Linked DNA regions of Oreochromis niloticus. The protein of the gene in region 1 interacts with the protein of each later gene in a biochemical or structural test. Links are inferred from orthologs where the notes say so. Each region holds a gene or a part of one and is shown on either strand. Other genes may lie near its edges.

Region 1 (7,220 bases):
TAGAACATCTGTAAGAGGCAGCTGTGAAGTGAATCACACTGCTGGGGTAGCTTCATGAGTTTTTATTGAGATTCAGAAATGTTTCTCTATGATGAAATCTTTCTATTGGAAACTCTTGTTAAGCCACATTGGTCTTCAGGGAAGGGGCGGGTGTCTTCATACTTCCCTACACCTCATATTTTTAATCACTAGGGGGTTTCTGAGGGCGTGGGAGCAACCTATAAAAAAAAAAAAATGTCTGTCCTATTACCAATGAGTTAGCTTACAACCCGGAGTCTGAAAGGTAATGACTTACCTGGTACCTTCTGAGAAAACCGAGATCAGTGTTGTCGTCAAGAGCAGAGGAAGACATGTCAACGTGGACATAAGGGTTCAACTCTGCAACGCGAGGGCACACTGCCTCCACCCTGTGGGAAAAACACAAGGGAGTGGGTAAACACGAGAGAGTATCTGAGTAAGGATGCACCAGTCTTAATGTTTATACCACATATCACTCTGATACCTACTCAGAGCTGTATTAGGTATGCACTGGTCAATCACAATTATATTCAGTTAAACTGAACTAAAGTGTCATTCTTTATTTAGCACATTATGAAACTAACAAGAAAGGATCGTCACTTTGGTGGCTTTTCACTGTTGCTATGTCAGCAAAATGTTTATAGCAGCAGTTTGTGACCTAATTATAATTCAACAGAAACCAAACAGTGGTCAGTTGAGCTGATCACAACAACAGACAATGGTGCTGTCCCTGTCAGTGTCACTATTTCTGTATTGTTGTGTAAACTTTACAACTGCACTTTGAGCAACTGAACAACTTGATTAGTGCAGTCCTTAATGATCTTGTGCAAGCAAGGAGGGTATGGTTAAACAGACATACACAGTAACAAAGGGGAGCAGCAATAGCTTAACTGTAACAATTCAATTTAATCACAGACCAAGATGAAAGGAAACAAGTTTAAATTAATTAGGTTTTGGTCCTGTTATTTTGTCATTTTAATAATAACTTTCACATAAAAAGAGAATGGTTTGTAATGTACTTATTTAGCACTATTATCAGCCCACTCCTTTAAGGTATCTTCATGAGGAATGAATAAGCTACACTGGTGCATGCCTATTTAAGAGCGTAAGGAGAGTCCCGCCCCGTGGGGTTCATTACCTCCTCCTCTGACTCAAAACATCCTCTTTGCGGATGAAGAAGTTGGAGCCAAGATCCCAGGTCTCACACTGTTTTGTGTCATGAAGCGTGACTGCCTGTACACACAGAGGACAAACATACTGTATAGGTTCGAACAATTATGACTACAAGACCTTTGGACTTGCAAGATGCTGGGAATGACACATTGCTGTAATATTAAGAGAGCGCACCTACCTTTACACCAGCCAGGACAATATTTTTTGCTGTGAAACCAAACCCAAAAGGTTTAGAGTCATGTTAGAGTTGCTTGCGTGGCTCATACAAACACCAAACCATTAAATATTGCCTACCTATCTCTACTCCCAGTCCTCCCATTCCACTGAGAAAGACTGAGGACTGGGCCATCTGGTGCATGGCACTGTCTCCAAGCACATATCGCTGGCGGCTAAAGAGAGAGAGAGAGAGAGAGAGAGATGAAGAGTCACTGTGAAGGAATGTGCTAGAAGGACGAATGGAAACACCACGAACAATAACTGCGCTTGCTGTAATATAAACCATTAAAAAGGCAAATTATAAGTGATGGTGAGGCTTGCCTGTAAAGAGAGTCGTCAATCTCCATCAAGTCTGTAGCCATGATGGGAGGGGAAGGGGGGGAGAGCAAGTGCCTCACAGATAGAGATGCTTCCTGTTAAAAATATAAATAGAGTAATTAACCTTGTCTGATTGAGCGATATAGATTTAAAACCAACGCCCTGCTGTTAATGAGCCGCACAGCTAACTAACTGTTGATACCAGTTAGCTGTCAGCAACGTGGTTGATCCCACCGAGCTGAGCTGACCTGAGCTGAATTAACCAAGCGGCTTTAAAAAAAGCCCGACATTAAAGTGGTTAATACATGTGCCTTAGTAAAGCTAGATGACTTATGAAGTTGCTGAAGCTCAACGCTAGCGGCTACAGCTAGCTAATGCTGCTGCCCGGTGCCGGTTGCGGAGACACTTCTCATAAACTCATTAAAAGTAGTGACACAAACACGAGGCTACAAATAACTCCAGGGAGTAGACAAATGTTTTAGGAATAGTTGTTTCTATCAAGCAATATGTAAACACTGCTATAAATGTGGTTAAAATTAGTCAGAATATCACACGCAGGTACCTGTCAGTAAGCCCAGCGAGCTGCAGCGAATGAATGGCTGTGACTGGTTAAAAAACTTGGAGTGTTTCCGGGTTATAGCACTCACGTGGCCAACGTCAACCAATCACTTCACGGTAACTTCTAGGACTATATTTGTGAATAAACGTTACTTATTTTTGTGTTGTTGATAAAATAACACACATTTATGATGATTTAGTAGATTTCGGGTGACATTTTTGTAAAGAATAACATTTCACCATTTTGTTTTCAAAGGTGTAATCTTGAGTCACCACCCATTTCTTTATATTTTGCCTCAAGGAACCAGACTTTCTTGTATTTCTTTAAAGTGGTATTGAGCAATATACATATATATATATATATAGATAGATAGATCAGTGTTAGGTTTTTTAAAAAGCAAGTAAAAAGAAATATATATATATCTTTTTGCTTTCTTTCTTTTTGCTATATATATATATATATATATAGTCTTAAGGAGGGGAAGCAGGGAAAAAAGCTCATCAGTACGTGCAGAGGAGGTCGGAAGAGAGGTACAACAGTTGGTGTCTAAGTGAGTGTTTACAAATTATAAGTGATGGTCTGTAAAACACATTGCAGGCTCTGTCATGGTTTCGATCTGCATTTCAGCCAGTGGTGTTGGGGATTTTGTCAAAACAAACTGAATTATCAACACAGATTTTGAACAACTACCATCAGAAAAGCTCGTGATTGGCAATGGCTAATGCAGTAAAAGCATACCTGGCTAGAAAAACACACACTATCAGTCATGGATTGGCCTCCTCAGAGTCCGGACCACAACATTACCGAAGCAGTGTGGGATCATGTTGACAGAGAAGGGAAGAAAAGGAAGTCAACATTCAAAGAAGAGCTTTAAGTGTCCTACAAGAACCCTGGAGAACTATTCCTGAAGACTACATAATTAAAGAAAGAAAGGTTAAGAGTGTCCAGGCTGTGTTAAAGAATATATAACACACTGTTCTACCAATAATACTAAATACTGACTTCCGAGCTCATTAGAATCATACAAACTCTATTTTTTCCCCTTGTATACTGTATTTCTATGTGTGTTTGCACATTTCAATAAGTTGCTGAGTCTATTTCCTGTTTTCCTACAAAAATATAAAGTGATAAAGCGTGTCTTAAGACTTTTGTATATTGTATATGTGAATATGGTGACAACAATGCATTCTACTCATAAAAGAAAAGAAGTAACACAAAAGTAATACCTGTAACACAATAATGATTTTAAGGTCCATCTAACTGAAAGCAGGACAGAAACAGCAGAAACATGTCAGAAAAGATTGCCTTATCTTAAATCAACCTTGTCGATGATGAGTCTGCTTTATCGCTTTGGATTTGAGGTGTGACAGTACCTCCTCCAGCCATTTTATGGGTTAGGGGTATTTTATTTTTCAGTTTGAGAAAAAATAAGCAATCAACCAAGCAACAACTCTTCTATGTTCATGACAACGCAAGCAGGCTCAGGTTGGAAAAACAAAGATATCAAAACTAGTCGCAGCCAGTGAAAACAGAAGATAAAAAACAATGTTCAGCCCCCCCCCATTTAAAGAAACAAAGTTCACCAGCTAAGTGAAACATTTACACCACAACTTGCTCCAGTTCTGGATGGAAAACACAATTCTGGTACTGTCTTTGTCACAGCGGTTAGTTATGCTTGTGTCTCTTTGTTTTGAATATAAAGAGCCTCTAGTTCCATAATCAGAGACAAAATTGGACCGATTTTTGCTTCTCTGGGGGGGAACTAGGGATAAGTATCTCTAACCTTCAGACCTTCAGACTTTTCCCCTTTCAAACCTTCAGACTCCCACCCTTTTATCATATTGGTTAGTTCACAAAGGAGCCTCCCCCTTGAACTGCAGCCAGAATCACACACAAATCCCACAACAGTCTCCAGAGTTTACTCATCCTACACTGTGGACACTCTGCCCACGCACTTACGCTGCAATGTGGTGCAGTCGCATGGCACTCCGTCGGCTCCAGAAGATCGCCGTTACTCCTTTGAACATTACCGGGAGTCTAACAAGCAACATCCAGAGGGAGATGTCAACCCTGCCGCGCATCTATGTCACACGACAGATCCCACCTGAGGGCCTGAAGATCCTCCGCGAATCCGGACAGTGAGTTATTTTTAGTATCCTGGTATGTCACTTAAAATAACAAATTTTAGCGTTTTAATGTAACTTTGCGATGTGTGCCGCAGGAGATTTGACACTGATCACTTTAAGCAGTTTGAATATCTGGTCTGAGAGGTTCATCATTTACTTTGAACAAACATGACTGCTAATGTTTGCCTTAAGGTCTCGTCAAATAAAGCACATAGTCTAAAGGGTATTCCCTGAGAAAGAGAGCTGCACAAATGTTTCACTGCACCCTAAAATCCCAGGATTTCAATGAAAGGCACTTTGACATTATGTATCTCTAAGAAGAGCCATTATCTGTATAAAAATGTGAAACCTGTGCTCATGTATTTGGGATTTTTTTTCATCTTTGACCAGTAAATTTCCTTCAGGTGACGATAGAGGAAAACTGGATTTGATTTAAATCTTCAGTCATGTGATTTCTGTTTCCCTAGGGTGCAGTTTGAGCTGTGGAACTCAGATGACATACCGGTGCCCAGGAAGGAGCTCCTTCAGAAGGTCAAAGGTGTAGATGGTCTGCTTTGCACGCTGACGGAAAAAATTGATGCGGAACTGTTGGACGCTGCAGGTCTGCCCTTTGCCTTTGACAAATAACCTAAATGCAACAAACAGCCTTGCATGTCTTTATATGTGTGACGTATTCCTGCAGGTCCAAACCTGAAGGTCCTCAGTACAATGTCAGTGGGATTCGATCATCTGTCTTTGGATGAGCTGAAGAAACGGTGAGTTCCCTCTTTCTGTTTTATTTTATTGTAACACATGTGAATGCCATTCATGGCTCTACTGAGAGTGATTTTCCCTTTAAGAAAAAAGGTTCTTAACATGCAAACAGGCAGTGAAATATTCATGTAACGTTGTATGCAATGTTTATGTTTTCCTACAGAGGAATCCGTATAGGTTATACCCCTGAAGTCCTGACAGATGCTGTTGCTGAGCTGACAGTAGCTCTGCTGCTTGCGACCTCCAGGAGGCTCATAGAGGCCACACATGAGGCCAAGACGTACTGTCATATACAAAATAAGATCACACATACGTGGAAGATTTACTAAAACATACATGCACAAATGCAAATTGTGCAAAATAAATTCTCTCTCTTTCTCTCACTGACGCCAGTGGTGGCTGGGGCACGTGGAGAACGCTGTGGCTGTGTGGTTATGAGCTGGCCAACAGCACTGTCGGTATTCTTGGACTAGGCAGAATCGGTAAGCAGCACATCACTAAGACAACCTTTACATCAGCGTATCGTCAAACTGCCATTTCTGTCAGTTATGAGCTTTTTACAGTGTGTGCTTGTACTCAAAGGTGTGGCCATTGCTGAGCGTCTGGCACCTTTCAAAGTAAAGAAGTTTATCTACACAGATGTGGCCCCCAGGCCTGAGTTGGCGAGTGTCATCAATGCAGAATATGGTAAGGAAGACCCAGCAAGGATGTTACTCTATGATATGTGGACAAAAGATCCCCTGTCAACAGGGCAGATGGGGCTAGTCAAAAGATAAGGCTATTTAAAACCTTTTGACTTTTCATAAGTCTTTCTTGAAGTCCTAAGAACCACCCACAAACTTAATATGATAATAAAAGTGATATTAGTGCATCTAGTGTAGTTTTCATCTGATTCCTACCAGCTAAAAAGGTTTGTTTTATTTTAGTTTTCAGTTTATTTTTAATAACCTTGCACTGTATCTTGTTCTAGTCTCTTTTGATGAGCTGGCAAAGCAATCAGATTTCCTGGCTGTGTGCTGTGCTCTAACACCAGAGACAAAGGAGATCTGCAATAAGAACCTCTTCTCCAAGATGAAAAAGACTTCCATCTTCATCAACACGAGCAGGTACCCCTACCTGATACATGCATGACCCAAGACCCCAAGAGTGGTCTGTGAGTGTTGTGCTCATTAATTACTGATTAACCTGATAACAGGTTATTTTCCTTCACTGATCACCATTTAATACACAAAATGCAAGCCAATGGTTTTAAGAAATGACCATTGTGTTTCCTCAAATCCAAATATTTATATTTGAGATATTAGGATTGCTCGCAGTTTCACAAAATGATCTCCACAGTTGATTAGTTGACTAATAGAAAGTTAGAATGACTAATCATTTAAGTTCTCGGTGACCTGCATCTGGAGAAATGGATATGTACTGTAGGCAATCAGCAGCGAGGATTCTGCCCTTTGAGTCTATAACTGTGCTTTTGCTGTTGTGCAGAGGCGGGGTGGTGAACCAGGAAGACCTGTATGAAGCTCTGTCCACAGGGCAGATCGCAGGAGCTGGATTAGATGTCACTGTTCCCGAGCCGCTGCCAACCAACCACCCACTGTTTACACTCAAAAACTGTGGTGAGCATTCTGCTACTTTGAACAGGTTTTTAAACCACACTTGGTCCTCTCTGCCTATCATTTGGTTTTAATATTTTCTCTTCCTGCAGTGATTCTACCCCATATTGCGAGTGCCTCCTATACTACCCGTGATGCCATGTCTTCCTTGGCGGCAAACAACCTCCTCCTGGGCCTGCGAGGGCAGCCGATGATCAAAGAGCTCAAGCTTTAAGAAGAAACAGCTTCCACTCTGAAAAAATGATCAAATAGTGGATGATTAGTTCTACTTACTGTTCAAAATATGTTTTGCTGACTGAAGTAAATCCATGCAGTGTTGCAACTGTCTCCTTTTTCTTTAGTCTTCAGTTTCACATTTTTTAGTTTGGCATTCTAGAGTGCTGTGAAAAAGTTTTTGCCCACTTCCTGATTTCTGATTTTGAAATTATATGAAAAAAAAAAGTG
Region 2 (7,899 bases), on another chromosome or scaffold:
AATTGATCCCCTTCCATTTTGCAGCTGAATGAAGGCAAGCTGGTAATTACATGCAAAATGTTTGTCATAATTAAGTAGTAAGATTAGTAGCAAAATTCCAAATCTCTTGCCACCTGTTGCCATAAATTCAGAAGTTCCTCCACAAAGAGACATGATTGCTGCAGGACAGCAATCTAACCGCAAAATGCCATAGGTGCTTGGCAACTTTGCTTTTATATAGTAAAAATTGCCAGTTCAGTTGCTCTGACTGACTAACTAATTTAAATCAGCTGTCACATGCTAGCAATCTCTCTGTGTTTATAGATTAGAGAGCAAATATTTGCAAAACCTTGCCAATCTTTCTGGGAGTGATTACAGTCAATCTGAATTGTTTGGACAAGTTGCTTCCCTCTAGGCGATCTGTGCAGTCACCTTACAATTGAGGAGGTATGTCCAGAGGTTGAGCATGCAACACCCTCAACCTTCAATCACAGAATGCAAAAAAAATTCAGTGCAATCACACAAGGAGGTTATTTTCACTTTAATGCGACTGCAGAAAAACAAGTTATATTTACTTGGCATATAATATTCTATTGCAGGAGCACAGCACAACCTTGTGGGTCAAATAAAACAGTACACACAACTAACACATTAACAGTGTTGTGGAGCAAGTGACAGGAATCATGTGACTAAGAATAGAGCAGCAGTCGGAGCGTAATTATATTAAATGATTAATTATTCTATTCTATTCTATTCTATTCTATTCTTAAAAAGAAAATCTAAACCGCACATAAATCACAGAAAGTCCTTAGTAACTTACAGAATTCTTCTGGATGGCATGTTCTTGTGTCCACTTCCTGGCCTTCTCCATAAACAGGTGTTTGTTGTATTTGAATTCCGATGACTAAATTACGGGAAAAATAGATAAATAAAAGTGCATATAAAGTTGGGTTATACAATCATTCACTGTACTACAACTGAACACAGCTGCTCTCTAACCCAACAGGTTTTAGGTTAAAGGGGTTTTTGACTTGCATCTAAACAAGTCATTTTGGCATTTACCACACTCATGGACTTGCCTTTAATTACTTAGGATACCTTTTATTTCCAGGGATGAATTTGAATCAATTAAAAACTGAACTACGTATTTTAGTCAAGACAATGTCTTTAAAACTGTTTTTGTTTTTGAATTTTTAAATAAAGAGCTACTGTTACATGATGATATAGGTAACTCACAGTTTTTTAAAAAATAAAATAAAACCACCACAGACAGATTGTGTATGACAGATAGTTTGATATATAGGATGGACAACAGACTATGTGTGACTCACTATATCAGCCATCAGTGGGTCGTCTGGATTTGGCTCTGCCATGAGTAGCTGTATGGAAGTGAGGACTGTGGAGATGTTTAGAGATGGCTTCCAGGCACCCTGAAAAAAAATCAAATAAATATAAAGACAACACTACATCTAAAATGTATAAAATGCAACATATATCCTTGTGTCCACCATGTAATGGTGTTGAAATAAAGAGTTTTTATGTACTGGAAATCTCTTATAACCTTTGGTGGCAGTTTAAGAGCATCATGGCAGATCCGTCCTGAATTGTCAATGTTTGGATGGTAGATTGGAGTCAAGAATCGTATTTTGGGAGGCTCAAATGGGTACCTAAGAGAGAAAAAAAAAAGCATGTCAGTCCTGCTAGAGTGGAGTGAGAACATGTAACTGGTAGATAGAAACCCATCAATGTTAAAGCTCAAAGAAGAAGTACCTCTCTGGAATCTTGACCTCCAAGGAGAACACTCCACCATCATAAGGAGTTCCTGATCCACCCAATATCTCTGGAACATAAAAGGGGTTAAACATATGGTCATGTACTTGAAATATTTTATTGACAGGATCCACTGAAAAATGGATGCTATGTCAGAGTGATTTTAATCAGGTGAAATATTCTGAGTATATAGTATAGGAAAATGTATCTTGACAATTTGTTAGGTACACCTGTTCAACTGTCTGATAATCAGCTAATCACGAGGCATCAACTCAGTGCATTATGGCATATAGACATGCTCATAGCAACCTGCTGAAGTTCAAACTGAGCATCAGAATCGGAAGGAAAGCCGATTTAAGTGACTTTGGTAGTCAGAGTCTTTCAGGATCTGCTGATCTACTGAGATTTTGCACATAACCATCTCTAGAATTCACAGAGAAATGTCCAAAATGAAAAATATCCAGTGACCAGGAGGAGATCTCTGGGTCAAAATGCCCCACTGATTTCAGAGGTCAGAGGAAAATGGCTACGCTGGTTTGAGCTGATAGGAAGGAAACAATCCAAAAGAGCCTTGATGAACGCATAACGCATCAAATTTAGAAGCAGACGGGCCACAGGAGCAGAGACCTAACTGGGTACCGCCGCTGTTAAAGATTACGATAGTTCTGAAGGCAACAAAGAGGTCCAACTTGGTACTAACAATGCACATAAGAAAGTGTCTGGTAAGTATATCTTTAGTCGTTTCAGTGACACAGTAGTACATACGTGCCCGGAGGTCGTCTATCTGATCTTCGGTCTGCCAGCATGTTATCCCAGGGGGTGGCTCGGTGCTTAGCATTTGAAGTTCACGCTTCAAACGAGAAGCCCTCTGCATTCTGAAAAACAGGCAGCTGGCTAATTAGCGTTACACTTAAATGCCTCGGATTCGTGGGTCAGTCTCCACACACGCTTGTAAATATTTAATCTTAAACGTAGAACATTTATTGTCAAACCGCTCAATGAGACAGTGGTTTGTTTTTGATGTTAGCTGCCTTCTTGTGACAGTCTTGTGATGCTGAGCTAACGCCTTTGCTTACTAATGTGAAGGCCGAAAAATAAACACCTTCTTCGTCAAAAAGTCTAATAACAATTTGTCAGGTGAACAGCAACTCTCGTTTCCTTACTTTTTATCAGCTGTCCACTTGATAATCGCTGTCTATCTTAATCGAAATTTCAGCTTCACAGCTCTCGGTGAAGAAGTGTCGTCGGCTCTGTTTTGGATTTCCCTCTCCTTACGTAAGCACCGCCCGCGCGCCGTTCTTCTTCTTCTGTTGAATTTATTCAGATGAATTACCGCCACCGTCTGGTCCCGAGTATGAGCTACCAGGAGGCTACTTCTGCGTACAAATAACACAGCACCATTTTTATTTTTAATTTAACAGTGTTACATTGATCATCCTGCAATCCAGTGGCCTCTCTGCTTGCCCCTCGAAACACTGGGCAACTAACCATTCATGTGTATGTGTGAAATATGATTCTTAGAGGATACTAAAATCACTTTTCATTTACAGCCTTACAAAAAGGAACAAGAAGAATCTCCGGGTGACTCTCTGGTCTCTAGTCAGTATTTATTTTTAAGGTAATAATTGTGTATTTTCAATAAATTAATTTAGTTTTCTTTGTTCTTTTTAAATGTACTTTAAGAGGTTTCAAAAAATGCATGACAAATATAATTTGATTATACAAATATTGTCTAGGAGTAGGTAATGGATAATAGGTACTGATTTGTAAACAAATGGATTTGAAAGACTTGAGCATATGATCTAATATTGCACTACAATTTACACTACTATATATCTAACTAACAAAGCAGTTCATCATTTTTTTCTTGACAACACTTTCTTTAAAGATATAGCCATTTTTGGTCAACTTGAATGAAAAGAAGACACACGTGAAATGTAAAAGTGAGATCAGAGATCAAATGTGAAATTATATTTGGAAGCAAACTATAATGTGATACTTACCCCATATAACAGTATCATTTCCTAAATGTTGTCAGTACAAAAAAAAATGTAGTAGAATTTATTTTATTGAAGTTTGACCTTATTTAACCTCGAAGAAGAGGACAGAGGTCCAAAGTAACGTGATATTTATAATCTCCATATATAATTAAATGCCTGTATGTCTATATGACAGTAAGAAACATAGATGTAGTTTGATATAACATTATCACTTGGACCTTCAGATCAATCTATTGACCCTGAAGGAAAGGTCACAGGTCAGTTATGATATTTTAAAATCTTTAAAGTTATAATGCTTTTTGTGGATTTTAAGCCAATAAATCATTAAGTTGACGGATGTAAAGTAAATGTTAATGGATTGTTAACACGACCCCACTTGGAGGTGACACCATGATTTTTGTTTTGTTTTGACAGCAGAAGCACTATAAGACTTTGGTATCATCTTGTGTGTTGTATTCTTTCTAATCCTTTTATTCCTCCATCCATCCATCTTCATCCGCTTTATCCGAGGCCGGGTCGCGGGGGCAGCAGCCTAAGCAGAGAAGCCCAGACCTCCCTCTCCTCAGCCACCTCCTCCAGCTTATCCGGGGGAACACCAAAGCGTTCCCAGGCCAGCCGAGAGATATAATCTCTCCAGCGTGTCCTGGGTCTGCCCCGGGGCCTCCTCCCGGTGGGACATGCCCGGAACACCTCACCCAGGAGGCGCCCAGGAGGCATCCTTGTCAGATGCCCGAATCACCTCAACTGGCTCCTTTCGATGTGGAGGAGCAGCGGCTCTACTCTGAGCCCCTCCCGGATGGCCAAACTTCTCACCCTATCTCTAAGGGAGAGGCCAGCCACCCTTTGGAGGAAGCTCATTTCTGCCGCTTGTATCCGCGATCTCATTCTTTCGGTCACTACCCACAGCTCGTGGCCATAGGTGAGGGTAGGGACGTAGATCGACCGGTAAATTGAGAGCTTCGCTTTTACACTCAGCTCCCTCTTCACCACGACGGACCGGTGCAGCGTCCGCATCACTGCAGCCACAGCACCAATCAGTCTGTCGATCTCCGGCTCCCTTCTCCCATCACTCGCGAACAAGACCCCGAGATACTTGAACTCCTCCACTTGGGGCAGGAACTCATCCCCGACCTGGAGTGGGCACTCCACCCTTTTCCGGCTGAGAACCATGGCCTCAGATTTGGAGGTGCTGATCCTCATTCCCGCTGCTTCACACTCGGCTGCGAACCGTTCCAGTGCGAGCTGGAGGCCTTCACCTGATGAAGCCAACAGAACCACATCATCCGCAAAAAGCAGAGATGAGATTCTGAGGCCACCGAAGCGAAATCCCTCCGCCACTTGGCTGCGCCTAGAAATCCTGTCCATAAAAATTATGAACAGAACCGGTGACAAAGGGCAGCCCTGGCGGAGCCCATCACCCACCGGGAACGAGTCCGACTTATTGCCGCCAATGCGAACCAAACTCTTGCAACGGTTGTATAGAGATCGAATGGCCCGTAGCAATGGGCCAGACACCCCATACTCCGGCAACACCTCCCACAGGACACCCGGAGGGACACGGTCGAATGCCTTCTCCAAGTCCACAAAACACATGTAGACTGGTTGGGCAAACTCCCATGCACCCTCAAGTATCCTTGAGAGGATAAAGAGCTGGTCCAGTGTTCCGCGACCAGGACGAAAACCGCATTGTTCCTCCTGTATCCGAGGTTCGACTAGCGGATGAACTCTCCTTTCCAGCACCCTGGCATAGACTTTCCCAGGGAGGCTGAGGAGTGTGATCCCCCTGCAGTTGGAACACACCCTCTGGTCTCCCTTCTTAAAGATGGGGACCACCACCCCGGTCTGCCAATCCAGGGGTACTGCCCCTGATCTCCACGCAACATTGTAGAGGTGTGTCAACCAGGACAGCCCTACAACGTCCAGAGCCTTCAGGAACTCGGGGCGGACCTCATCAACACCAGGGGCTCTGCCACCAAGGAGTTGTTTAACTGCCTCAGTGACCTCGCCCCTGGAAATTGGCGGGTCATTCCCCTCATCCCCAGACTCTGCTTCCTCCTCAGAAGACGTGTCAGTGGGATTAAGGAGGTCCTCGAAGTATTCCTTCCACCGCCTGACAATTTTCTCAGTCGACGTCAGCAGCGCTCCGCCAGCACTATACACAGTGCAGGTAGAGCACCGCTTTCCCCTCCTGAGACGCCTGACGGTTTGCCAGAATCTCTTCGAGGCAGTCCGAAAGTCTTTTTCCACGGCCTCTCCGAACTCCTCCCACACCCGAGTTTTTGCTTCAGCCACTGCCCGGGCCGCATTCCGCTTGGCCTGTCGATACCTGTCGGCTGCCTCCGGAGTCCCACAGGCTAACCAAGCCCGATAGGACTCCTTCTTTAGCCTGGTGGCTCCCTTCACCTCTGGTGTCCACCATTTGGTTCGGGGATTACCACCACGGCAGGCACCAACCTTTTATTCCTGTTTTCCATTTATTGTATGATTACATATTCATGCAATTGGGTTCCTCCATAAAGTTCTTCATTATTTTTTATTTCCCATTTTCACAGTAATGCTGTTTTGAAGTTTTAAAATCACAATACTGTATAATGGTACTGATGTAAGAACATTGCATGTAGGGAATGACAGAAAATTATATAAAAACTTCTGATCTGTAAATGTTTATCATTATGATAATTTCAAGTTTATCCATCTTCAAAAGGAAGACCATTAATGACCGACATAATCACACTAAACTTCACAATCACATAAGTAGTGTAGATAAGACACAATCTTATTTGAAGGCAGTGGCAAAGATAGCCTGAAAAGTAATGTTTCTGTCCTGCTTGTCCTCCATTCTAACATCAGTGAAGCCGGAGTCTCTCAGAGCTGCCATGTAGGCCTCTGGGCGCCAGTTTTCCCCTGGCATCACCCCCTTCGCTGCGAATGTAGCCACACGAGAAAGCTTCAGAGTTGTGACCATCAGGGCTCCTGGTTGGATTAAAAAGATGGGGACGTTTAATTTGAGAATCATTATTTAAAGACAACTTTTGGAAATAAATCTGTAAATAAAGTTTGGCTGACTGTCATGGCATTACCTGGCTTCATCACCCGGTGTATTTCGACAGCTCCTTTTCTAAGATCAGGCCAGAAGTAGTAGCAGTTACAGTGAAAGACTTTATCCACAGTGCTGTCTCCGAGAGGCATCGCTGCTACGTCACAGTGGTGGAGGGTCACTTTTTCATTTGCTATAAGTTCCATCATTTGTTTCTTTGCCATCTGTCAGAGACAGAAAAATTACAATATTGCCCTTGATTAGCAGCTATGCTTCTCTTAGGTTTTGGCTGCCTGCTCAGCAGTGCTTGATTTTTATTTATTTTTTAAATAAATATTCACTCGTTACAACCAAGGTATGCAGAAAAACGAACAACACATCAAACGTTAAAGAAGGTGGGCTAGATCACACCAGGTGCAATCGGTTAAGAACAGGACATTGTTCACTAGTAGACACTAATTTGCACGGGCTTGATAGAAGATTAGAAAAACTTTGCACAGACTGATGGTTCATGATTTCTGCTGTGACATTTAGATGGTAGGGCCAGAATCTTGTGTGGAACAACTGCTTAAGAAGTACAGAGTGAAATGCGTCAGCACAATAGTGACCCCCTTGAACTGATTTTAGTCTCATTTTTGTCATATTATATTCCACTGAGTTATTGGTTCTGTTATTAGTTATCTAGCTTAAACTAATGTAAGTCTAATGTAAGCAGCAACAAACCAACCAAGTGACATTAGATTCTCTACTGACACAAGATGGCACTAAACATGTTTTACAAACTTAAAGCACTTATTTCTTAAACCGAGCTGCACAGACAGTGTTACATCTATGCCAGTTTTGGAGAGCAGAGCTCGGTGATCTAAAATAGCCTTTATACGTCAAGTGTTTTATGGCCACTTTAAATGGCCTCCAAAGCCACTGAATCTCAATTTAAGAGGATACCTCTGAGTTATGGTGGAATGGGAAAGTCACTTCAAGGGTGTAGACCTGCCAAATCTGCAGCAACAATGTGATTTATTTTTCCATGACAATATGGACACAAATCAGAGAATTTTTTTCAGCACCATCTATGTCACAGATAATTCAGGGAGCTCTGAAGCTGGTAATGAA
Region 3 (7,401 bases), on another chromosome or scaffold:
AGACTTCTCCAACACTCGACATCTTTAAAATCCGCCTGAAGACACATTTTTACTCCCCAGCGTTTAAATTTGAACACTTTTGTGTTGTCTTGTTTCCTGCTCTGTTTTCTTTCAGCCATAAATCCACTGACTTGTCTTAACTTTGTGTTACTGGGGAGTGTACTGATAGCTGTGTTTCATCTCCAACACTTTGAGAACAGCGACACCTTCTGGTCTCACTCGGTCATCGTCACACTGAACCTGTGAGTCTAGTTGCCATGGTTTACAGGTATGAGGGTGAATTCATGACTCAAACTGCAGGTTTTTACTTTCTGAGTTTGGCATAAAGTGTGAAACAGGTTAACGAAACAAATACAGAGAGGTGAGCCTGTTACAAACACTAACAGCTGCTAATAAAAGGATCAGACAACTGATCCCAGCAGACGGGAGGTTAAAGCCATGAGGGTGCAGCATCGTTCACTTTTTAAATGCAATTAGTGTGATTAGTGGATCTACGGAGATCCGTCGCTGCTTTCATGACTGAGCCTGACCTTTAAGCACCCAGCATAGAAGTGAAAGCAACTCGTTTGTGCAACAGCCAAATTAGACAAATGCTGGTGCTCACAGAAGTGCTTCAGGTGACTGTGAACGTGAGTGTTGGTCTGGGTGTTTCACAAACTGCTGATATGAAACATCAGAGTTTACAGAGAAGGTCTGAAGGACAGAAAACATCCAGTGAGCAGCAGTCCTCTCGGGGGAAATGCCTGGTTGAGGTGTGAGGACAGACTGCTTCAAGCTGATAGTAAAAGCAACAGGAACTCAAATAACCACTCATAACAACCGAGGTATGCAGAAGAGCACCCCTGAGCCTTAGAACAGATGATCTACAGCAGCAGAAGACCACACTGGTGCCACTCCCACCAGCTAAAGGACATTTTATACCTGCTACGCGCTGCCTTGCAAACAGCACCTTACAACAGAGCTAACGTCATTTCCACTGTCACTAGCTGCCACTGCTGCAGGTCTTATATCAGCGATGATGTGGAGGAATCGTCCGAGTGGCAACACCAATTGTTCAGGAGAACACTGCAGCGGCTTCCTGGGCTGTAGCAGCGAGTATAAACAGAAGCAGCTGTGTGATGACGATGCCAGCAGTGTGGGAAATGACCGCAGCCTCGCCTCTGTCAGTGCGCCCCAGGGCGGCTGTGGCTACAATGTAGCTTGCCTCCACCAGTGTGTGAATGTGTGGATGACTAAATGTGTAAAGCGCTTTGGGGTCCTTAGGGACTAAGTAAAGCGCTATACAAATACAGGCCATTTACCATGTACCATTACTCTAACCCAGTACTAGTAAACTGTACCCAATAAAGCGGCTGTGAGAGTCCAGTTACAACTGACACATACACAATAACACTCCAAAACAAATACAAACACCCAAAAATGACTCAAACGTGTGTTTCCATGGAGACGGGGTACTCACATGATAAGAGCCTCCCACTCGAAGAAGTTCTCCTCGTTCACTGGACCTGCACAGCAAACACAAACTCTTTAAATCTCCTGCTCTCAGAGCTGCTCGGGTGTCTGACTGTTAGAACAACACACTGAACATCTGAGGGCACATCTGCAGAAGCTACAGATGTGTTCTGGTGTCTCACCTGCCACGATGCCCTCAGGTGGGTTCAAAGTCAGCTCTGAAGCACAAACACAGAAAGATGAGTGACCTTTGACCTCTGCTGTGATCCGGTATCAGTCACATTTTTAAACAGCTGATGGATTGTTTGCTTTCCCATATTGAAGAAACGATTAACATTTATTCATTTAAAAACAGCCTAAGGCAAGAAAGCAGTTATAAAAGACTTCCCAATTATCTTAAATACCAATCAGGTTTACCACAATGATCTATGTCGAACTGTTTATCCATAACTGTAAATCATCAAGTTTGCACACTTATACACAACATAATACAACTGTAATTACCCCTAACCTGTAAAGTTGCAATTGTTATACATAGCTCTACATATACACCATAATATATACTCTGTATATATTATCACTGTGACAGTGTTGCAACTACTTGCACTTTAAATTCTGTTTACACCCACATAAGCTACAAGATTTACAAAGCACTGTTTGTCTGTTTTACTTTCTTTTAGTCGTGTGAAGGGAACGTACAAAGTAAAAATTTCATTGCTCTGCGTAACCATTTGTGTTTTGCGGTGTACATGACAATGAAGTTCTTGAATCTTGAATGCATCGACTAATCTGTGCAGAATTCACATTATTACACAAGATTAAAGTGTAGCAGCCTGAAATGAGCGCATTAAATAAATGACAGGCCTAAATATGAATGTGTACCGAGGCTAATCCCCCAGTTAAAGTTCTTATCGTTAGCCCTCAATGCACCAAATTACATTTAAAAACCTTCAAATTTATCACTTTCAGAAAAGGCAAATCAGCCGCCGTGTCAGTGCAGCGCTGAAGCCTCGCAGCGAGTTTTCCACCTGCGCTCTGTGTTCCTGTAATCAGCATATAAACATGATGTTCGCACTTTGTGTTCATTTATCACACTTTAGAAAAGTTTTGAAAGTTACATCACGGCAGCTACATGGAACATTCTGGATAACGCCACACACACGTTATATAAGCTCCAAATTATACCGCGGTTTAAACTGCAGGTGGACAAAGCCGACACCGGATTATTCACACTGTGCAGACATTCATCAGGTTATCGGTTTGAGTCGCAGGAGAGAAGAACAAACGCGGACAACAAAGAAAAGCTCAAACCGACCGAACTTTTAACGGAGTTTCGTACAGAGATACAGGCGCTCGCGGGTTGTTAGCTTAGCATGCTAGCTAACATTAAAAGACCTCCCATTGGCTGAAAGCGGCTCGCGTTACTCACGTTTGTACTCGGCCATTAGTCTCTTTAGCGCTGTGCCAGCCATCGTGTTTACCGGAGAAAACAACAAACAAACAAATAAACAAAAGCGGCTCAGTTTCTCACGTTCTCACAAAGCAACGGACCAACAGCTGATCCGACTGAGCATGCGCAAAACGTGTTTCAGTTTGCGTGTCAGCAGACAGCGCACCCTGTCGACAAAAATAAAAACAATTAATTTAAAAACAAATAAAAAAATAATTAATTGTTTAATAATTAAGCTCATTTGTTTAATTGTAAACTTAATTTTACTCAAGTAAATGTTTTTGTGCCTTTAATAAATGTTATATAGTCTTTTTATTCAATTTTGTCTTTATTTAATTTAATTTATGTATGTAATTGATTTCCTTACCTGGATGACTGAGCATCAAGATGTATGCATGTAATAATAAGTTACGGTCTAACTGATTGCTTTTCTGTACAGTTAGCTTTTCTGTGCCACAGCAGATGTGTTTTGTTGTTGTTGTTGAATACTCAAATACATAAATAATAAAATAAATAAATAAATTCAATTCAAGTCAACTTTATTTATACAATGCCAAATCACATCAACAGTCACCTCAGGGTGCTTTATATTGTAAGATGGACCCTACAGTAATACATACAGAGAAAAACCCAACAATCATATGACCCCCTATGAGCAAGCAATTTGGCAACAGTGGGAAGGAAAAACTCCCTTTTAACAGGAAGAAACCTCCGGCAGAACCAGGCTCAGGGAGGGGCGGGGCCATCTGGACCCACTGGTTGGGGTGAGAAAAGGAAGACAGGATAAAGACATGCTGTGGAAGAGAGCCAGAGATTAATAACAAGTGTGATTTAGTGCAGAGAGGTCTATTAACACATAGTCAGTGAAGAAGTGTCTGACAGCGAATGACTGACAGGAAATAGTACCACATGTGAAAAGTGATGATTTCCTGTTTTTCTCTTTTTACTTGTAATGACTCATTGGTCTGTGTGACCTTTGACCTAAGAGTGCAGTTTCCACTGAATAATTGATCAATAAGAATTGATAAGACTGATTAATACAACCAAACAAGAAGAATCCAGACTGTTTTTAAAATATTCAAACAGCAGTCAGAACTCAACTTTGTTACTTTATATAGTGAGAAGTTTCTGTGGCCTGAATATTGAACTGCTGGATTTTGCCCATATTATTTGCTGAGGGGACTTTTATCTGTTGTTGTTGTTGCTGTGTGCAAATGCTGCAGCTGCATACAGCTGCCACATCAGAACGTGCTGCAGTATGTTCCTCTTTATCAGGAAGTCTAGTTCAAGGCCCTCTGCTGCCTCCCCCAACAAGATGTGGATGAACTAAAGAGCATAAAATGAAAATGAATGTTGATTACAAAACAAATATTTATGACCTTTTTTCTGATTATGGGAGTGGAGTCAGAGACCAGAACTCAGGATCTGGTTCTGTGGGTTATTCAGCTCTCTGGCAGCCCAGCAGCCTCCTCAGCTGAGCCCTGATCTCCGTCACCTTTAGGCCATACACCACCGGGTTGAACACAGTCGGGATCATGACCTGGAGGATGGAGGTGAGGACAGAGGCTGTGGGCTGACTGCCAGCCTGTAGGCGGCGCTGCAGCACCTCCACCCCAGAGCTCACGCTGTAGTTACAGAAGACGAGCAGGTGCGGCAGGCACGTGCTCAGTGCTTTGCTGCTGAAGCTGCGCGAGCGCCGCAGGCAGATTGACAAGACGGCGCTGTAAGAGAAGAGCACAAAGATGGCGGGCAGCAAGACAGTAGCCACGATGACCGAGAGGTTGTAGACTTCGCTCAGCAGTGTCTCACGACCACCACAGCTCAGACTGACCAGGCTGTAGATGTCGCAGTAGATCCTGCTGAGCTGCGAGCGGCAGAGCGGCAGGCGGCTCGCCAGCAGCACCGCAGTGCCGACCAGCCCGACAGGCAGCAGCCAGCAGAGCAGCAGCAGTGCCAGCACTGTGGCTGGAGACATGACAACGGTGTAGAGCAGCGGGCGGCAGATGGACACGTACCGGTCAAAGGACATGGCTGCTAGCAGTAGGAAGCTGGAGGTGCCCGATGAATATAAAAGCCAGGCCTCACACATGCACCCACGCAGGGTCACCTGCACTGAGCGGCCCCCCCTCAGCAGGTCCACCAGGAGTTTGGGGTAAAACACCGTGCTGCCCGCCACAGAGTTCATCAGCACAGCCGCCACAAACACAAACATGGGGCGGTGGAGGCTCCGCTGGGAGCAGATCACGTAGACCACCAGGCTGTCGCTGCACAGCATGAACAGGTAGGCGCACAGGAAGAAGAAGAAGAAGAAGAGCCGCTGATTGGACAGCTGCGCCAGGCCGTCCAGGGTCACTGATGTCACCAGGATGGGCAGTGAGGTCACGTTTACCCCTGCTGACATCATCGGGGGAGACACAACAATCTGAGGGTGTCAGCTGACAGAAAGCTCTGGAACAGCTGCACACAAGTTTAAACCATCAAATCGAAAACAGAAGCAGAAAAAATATTGTTTCAATATCAGATCATCAATTTGCAATTTATCATGACATCATTAAATGATCATTTAAGGCATCAACGTTTAGGTTATAACCACTTGAATAATGTTTTAAATCAACCTTTGAATCATCAACACTTTAAATGTTCAAACTGTATAATTGTTTAAATTAATAACATTTACTCTTTTATTATTTCAATAAAATAAATGTCAGCATTTAAAGACTTAAACTAACATTTAAATCGATATTATATGTGTTTAAAATCATTCTTCACATCTTCAACACTTATGAACATATAAAAATGTTACATATTAAAACAGTTTAAACAATCAACTGAATCATTTTTAACATAATATCTTTACAATTTTATCATTTATCATCATCAGTGTCAAAAAATAAAATCATCAGCATTTAGATTATCAGTGTTCAAAACATATATCTTCTCGCAGACGATCGAGTAAAGAACTATTTAACTCAATATTTTAAGTTTTATCTTTTAAATCTTTGCTTTAAAAACAACATTTAGATGATTAACAACAAAATATCTACATTTAACTTCACATATGATTATATAATCTGTGTTTACATAATCATTTAAATAATAATTTTGGAGTTAAGCGTCAAAATTATAAATTATGAAATTTAAAGAATAAATGTTTACATCATTATTGTTTAAATAGTCACACTGATATGATGGATTTTATAAAGAACTTTTTTCAGTGTAAAACATCAATGTTCAAAACACTAATGAACAAGAATGAACGAATATAATTATCAGCTATATCACACTAACTCTTTATCCTTGATTTTCAAAACAACATTAAAGTCATTATAGTTAAAACAATATTAAATCAATAACATTTGAATGATAAAAAGTTAAACACAAAAAAGTACATCATCAAACTTCAGACATAGAAAGAGACACACATGCTCCCACACCTGGATCATGTGGGCTGTGACAGGTTTGAGCTGTATTTATGATCCTCTCGCCTCAGTGGAGCTCATTAACTCTGCCTTATCTTCATCGTCTCTATCATCCTCCTCAGCATCGAATGTTTGATATTTTTCCTTCACTGAGGCTGTAAGCATGTTTCTCTCCAAGGGTTGAATCTGGAATCATGTTAGGGATGACTGTGAATTTTCAGTGGAAAAAACATCTTAACCTAAAAAAATAAACATTTTACAGTAAATTGTCAAACAGAAAAACCGTCATCTCTGTAAGCATAGTCTTTAGGTTCTAGGTTTAAATCTGTTTAGAGGTAAAACAGAAAACCTTAAATAATATATATAAATATATAATTAATGGTTGTAGCCAAAACATCACCCATTTGTCTTTGGACTCTGTAAAGTAAGTGAGTCAACTTAAATTTTAAAGAGCTTTTCACAGGCAAGTAGTGACAAACACTGTACAACAAAACAAGTTTGGGCACAGAATAATGCAAAAACAACTGCTGTCAGCAAAAGTCTCAAAACAAGGCCTGGTTAGAATAAAACAAAAAAAACAACAACAAACACTGCTTTTTAATAGAGTTAGCTAAATGTAGGCGTAGCAGCAGACTGTTCCATAGTCTTGTTTTCTCAAACTGAAAGCCTCTGTCCTCCCCAGTCTCCAATCTTGGAGTGCGTGCACACTGAAGGACATGTCCTGGTCAAAAATGACTCCAAGGTTCCTCACAGCATTACTGGAGGCCAAGGTAATGCCATCCAGAGTAAGAATCTGCTTAGATACCATATTTCTAAGATTTTCAGGGCCGAGTACAATAACCTCAGTTTGATCTGAATTAAGAAGCAGAAAGTTAGCGGCCATCCAGGTCTTTATGTCTTTAAGACATTCCTGCAGTTTAACTAATTGGTGTGTGTTACCTGGCTTCATGGATAGATAGAGCTGGGTGTCATCTGCATAGTAGTGAAAATTTATGCTATGTCTTCTAATGATGCTGCCTAAGGGAAGCATGTATAATGTAAACAGAATTGGTCCTAGCACTGAACCCTGTGGAACTCCAT

The links.
Region 2: the proteins of uba6 (region 1) and ube2t form a complex in vitro, tested with the Homo sapiens proteins (2 studies listed by BioGRID, with this or other methods). The link is inferred for Oreochromis niloticus from reciprocal best matches to the Homo sapiens genes UBA6 and UBE2T.
Region 3: the proteins of uba6 (region 1) and ube2g2 form a complex in vitro, tested with the Homo sapiens proteins (2 studies listed by BioGRID, with this or other methods). The link is inferred for Oreochromis niloticus from reciprocal best matches to the Homo sapiens genes UBA6 and UBE2G2.

The regions. Positions count from the first base shown.
Region 1 is NC_031971.2:22,550,747-22,557,966, forward strand, and holds the start of uba6 (ubiquitin-like modifier-activating enzyme 6), read right to left. Parts: upstream 3,068-7,220; 5' UTR 3,053-3,067; coding exon 3,023-3,052; intron 2,344-3,022; exon of another isoform or gene 2,288-2,343; intron 1,821-2,287; coding exon 1,729-1,820; intron 1,581-1,728; coding exon 1,486-1,580; intron 1,399-1,485; coding exon 1,370-1,398; intron 1,252-1,369; coding exon 1,157-1,251; intron 408-1,156; coding exon 296-407; intron 1-295. Other genes in the region: grhprb (glyoxylate reductase/hydroxypyruvate reductase), read left to right, coding at 4,250-4,422, 4,878-5,011, 5,093-5,165, 5,327-5,443, 5,557-5,645, 5,746-5,850, 6,134-6,269, 6,649-6,779 and 1 more. UniProt on the Homo sapiens protein: Activates ubiquitin by first adenylating its C-terminal glycine residue with ATP, and thereafter linking this residue to the side chain of a cysteine residue in E1, yielding a ubiquitin-E1 thioester and free AMP.
Region 2 is NC_031984.2:18,400,925-18,408,823, reverse strand, and holds the start of ube2t (ubiquitin-conjugating enzyme E2 T), read right to left. Parts: upstream 3,073-7,899; 5' UTR 2,913-3,072; intron 2,625-2,912; 5' UTR 2,624-2,624; coding exon 2,515-2,623; intron 1,820-2,514; coding exon 1,750-1,819; intron 1,647-1,749; coding exon 1,541-1,646; intron 1,410-1,540; coding exon 1,311-1,409; intron 884-1,310; coding exon 800-883; intron 1-799. Other genes in the region: uncharacterized protein zgc:194242, read right to left, coding at 6,526-6,722, 6,830-7,010. UniProt on the Homo sapiens protein: Accepts ubiquitin from the E1 complex and catalyzes its covalent attachment to other proteins. Catalyzes monoubiquitination. Involved in mitomycin-C (MMC)-induced DNA repair.
Region 3 is NC_031987.2:899,330-906,730, reverse strand, and holds the start of ube2g2 (ubiquitin-conjugating enzyme E2 G2), read right to left. Parts: upstream 3,056-7,401; 5' UTR 2,925-3,055; coding exon 2,882-2,924; intron 2,657-2,881; exon of another isoform or gene 2,638-2,656; intron 1,671-2,637; coding exon 1,635-1,670; intron 1,506-1,634; coding exon 1,460-1,505; intron 1-1,459. Other genes in the region: olfactory receptor 10J5-like, read right to left, coding at 4,341-5,303. UniProt on the Homo sapiens protein: Accepts ubiquitin from the E1 complex and catalyzes its covalent attachment to other proteins. In vitro catalyzes 'Lys-48'-linked polyubiquitination. Involved in endoplasmic reticulum-associated degradation (ERAD).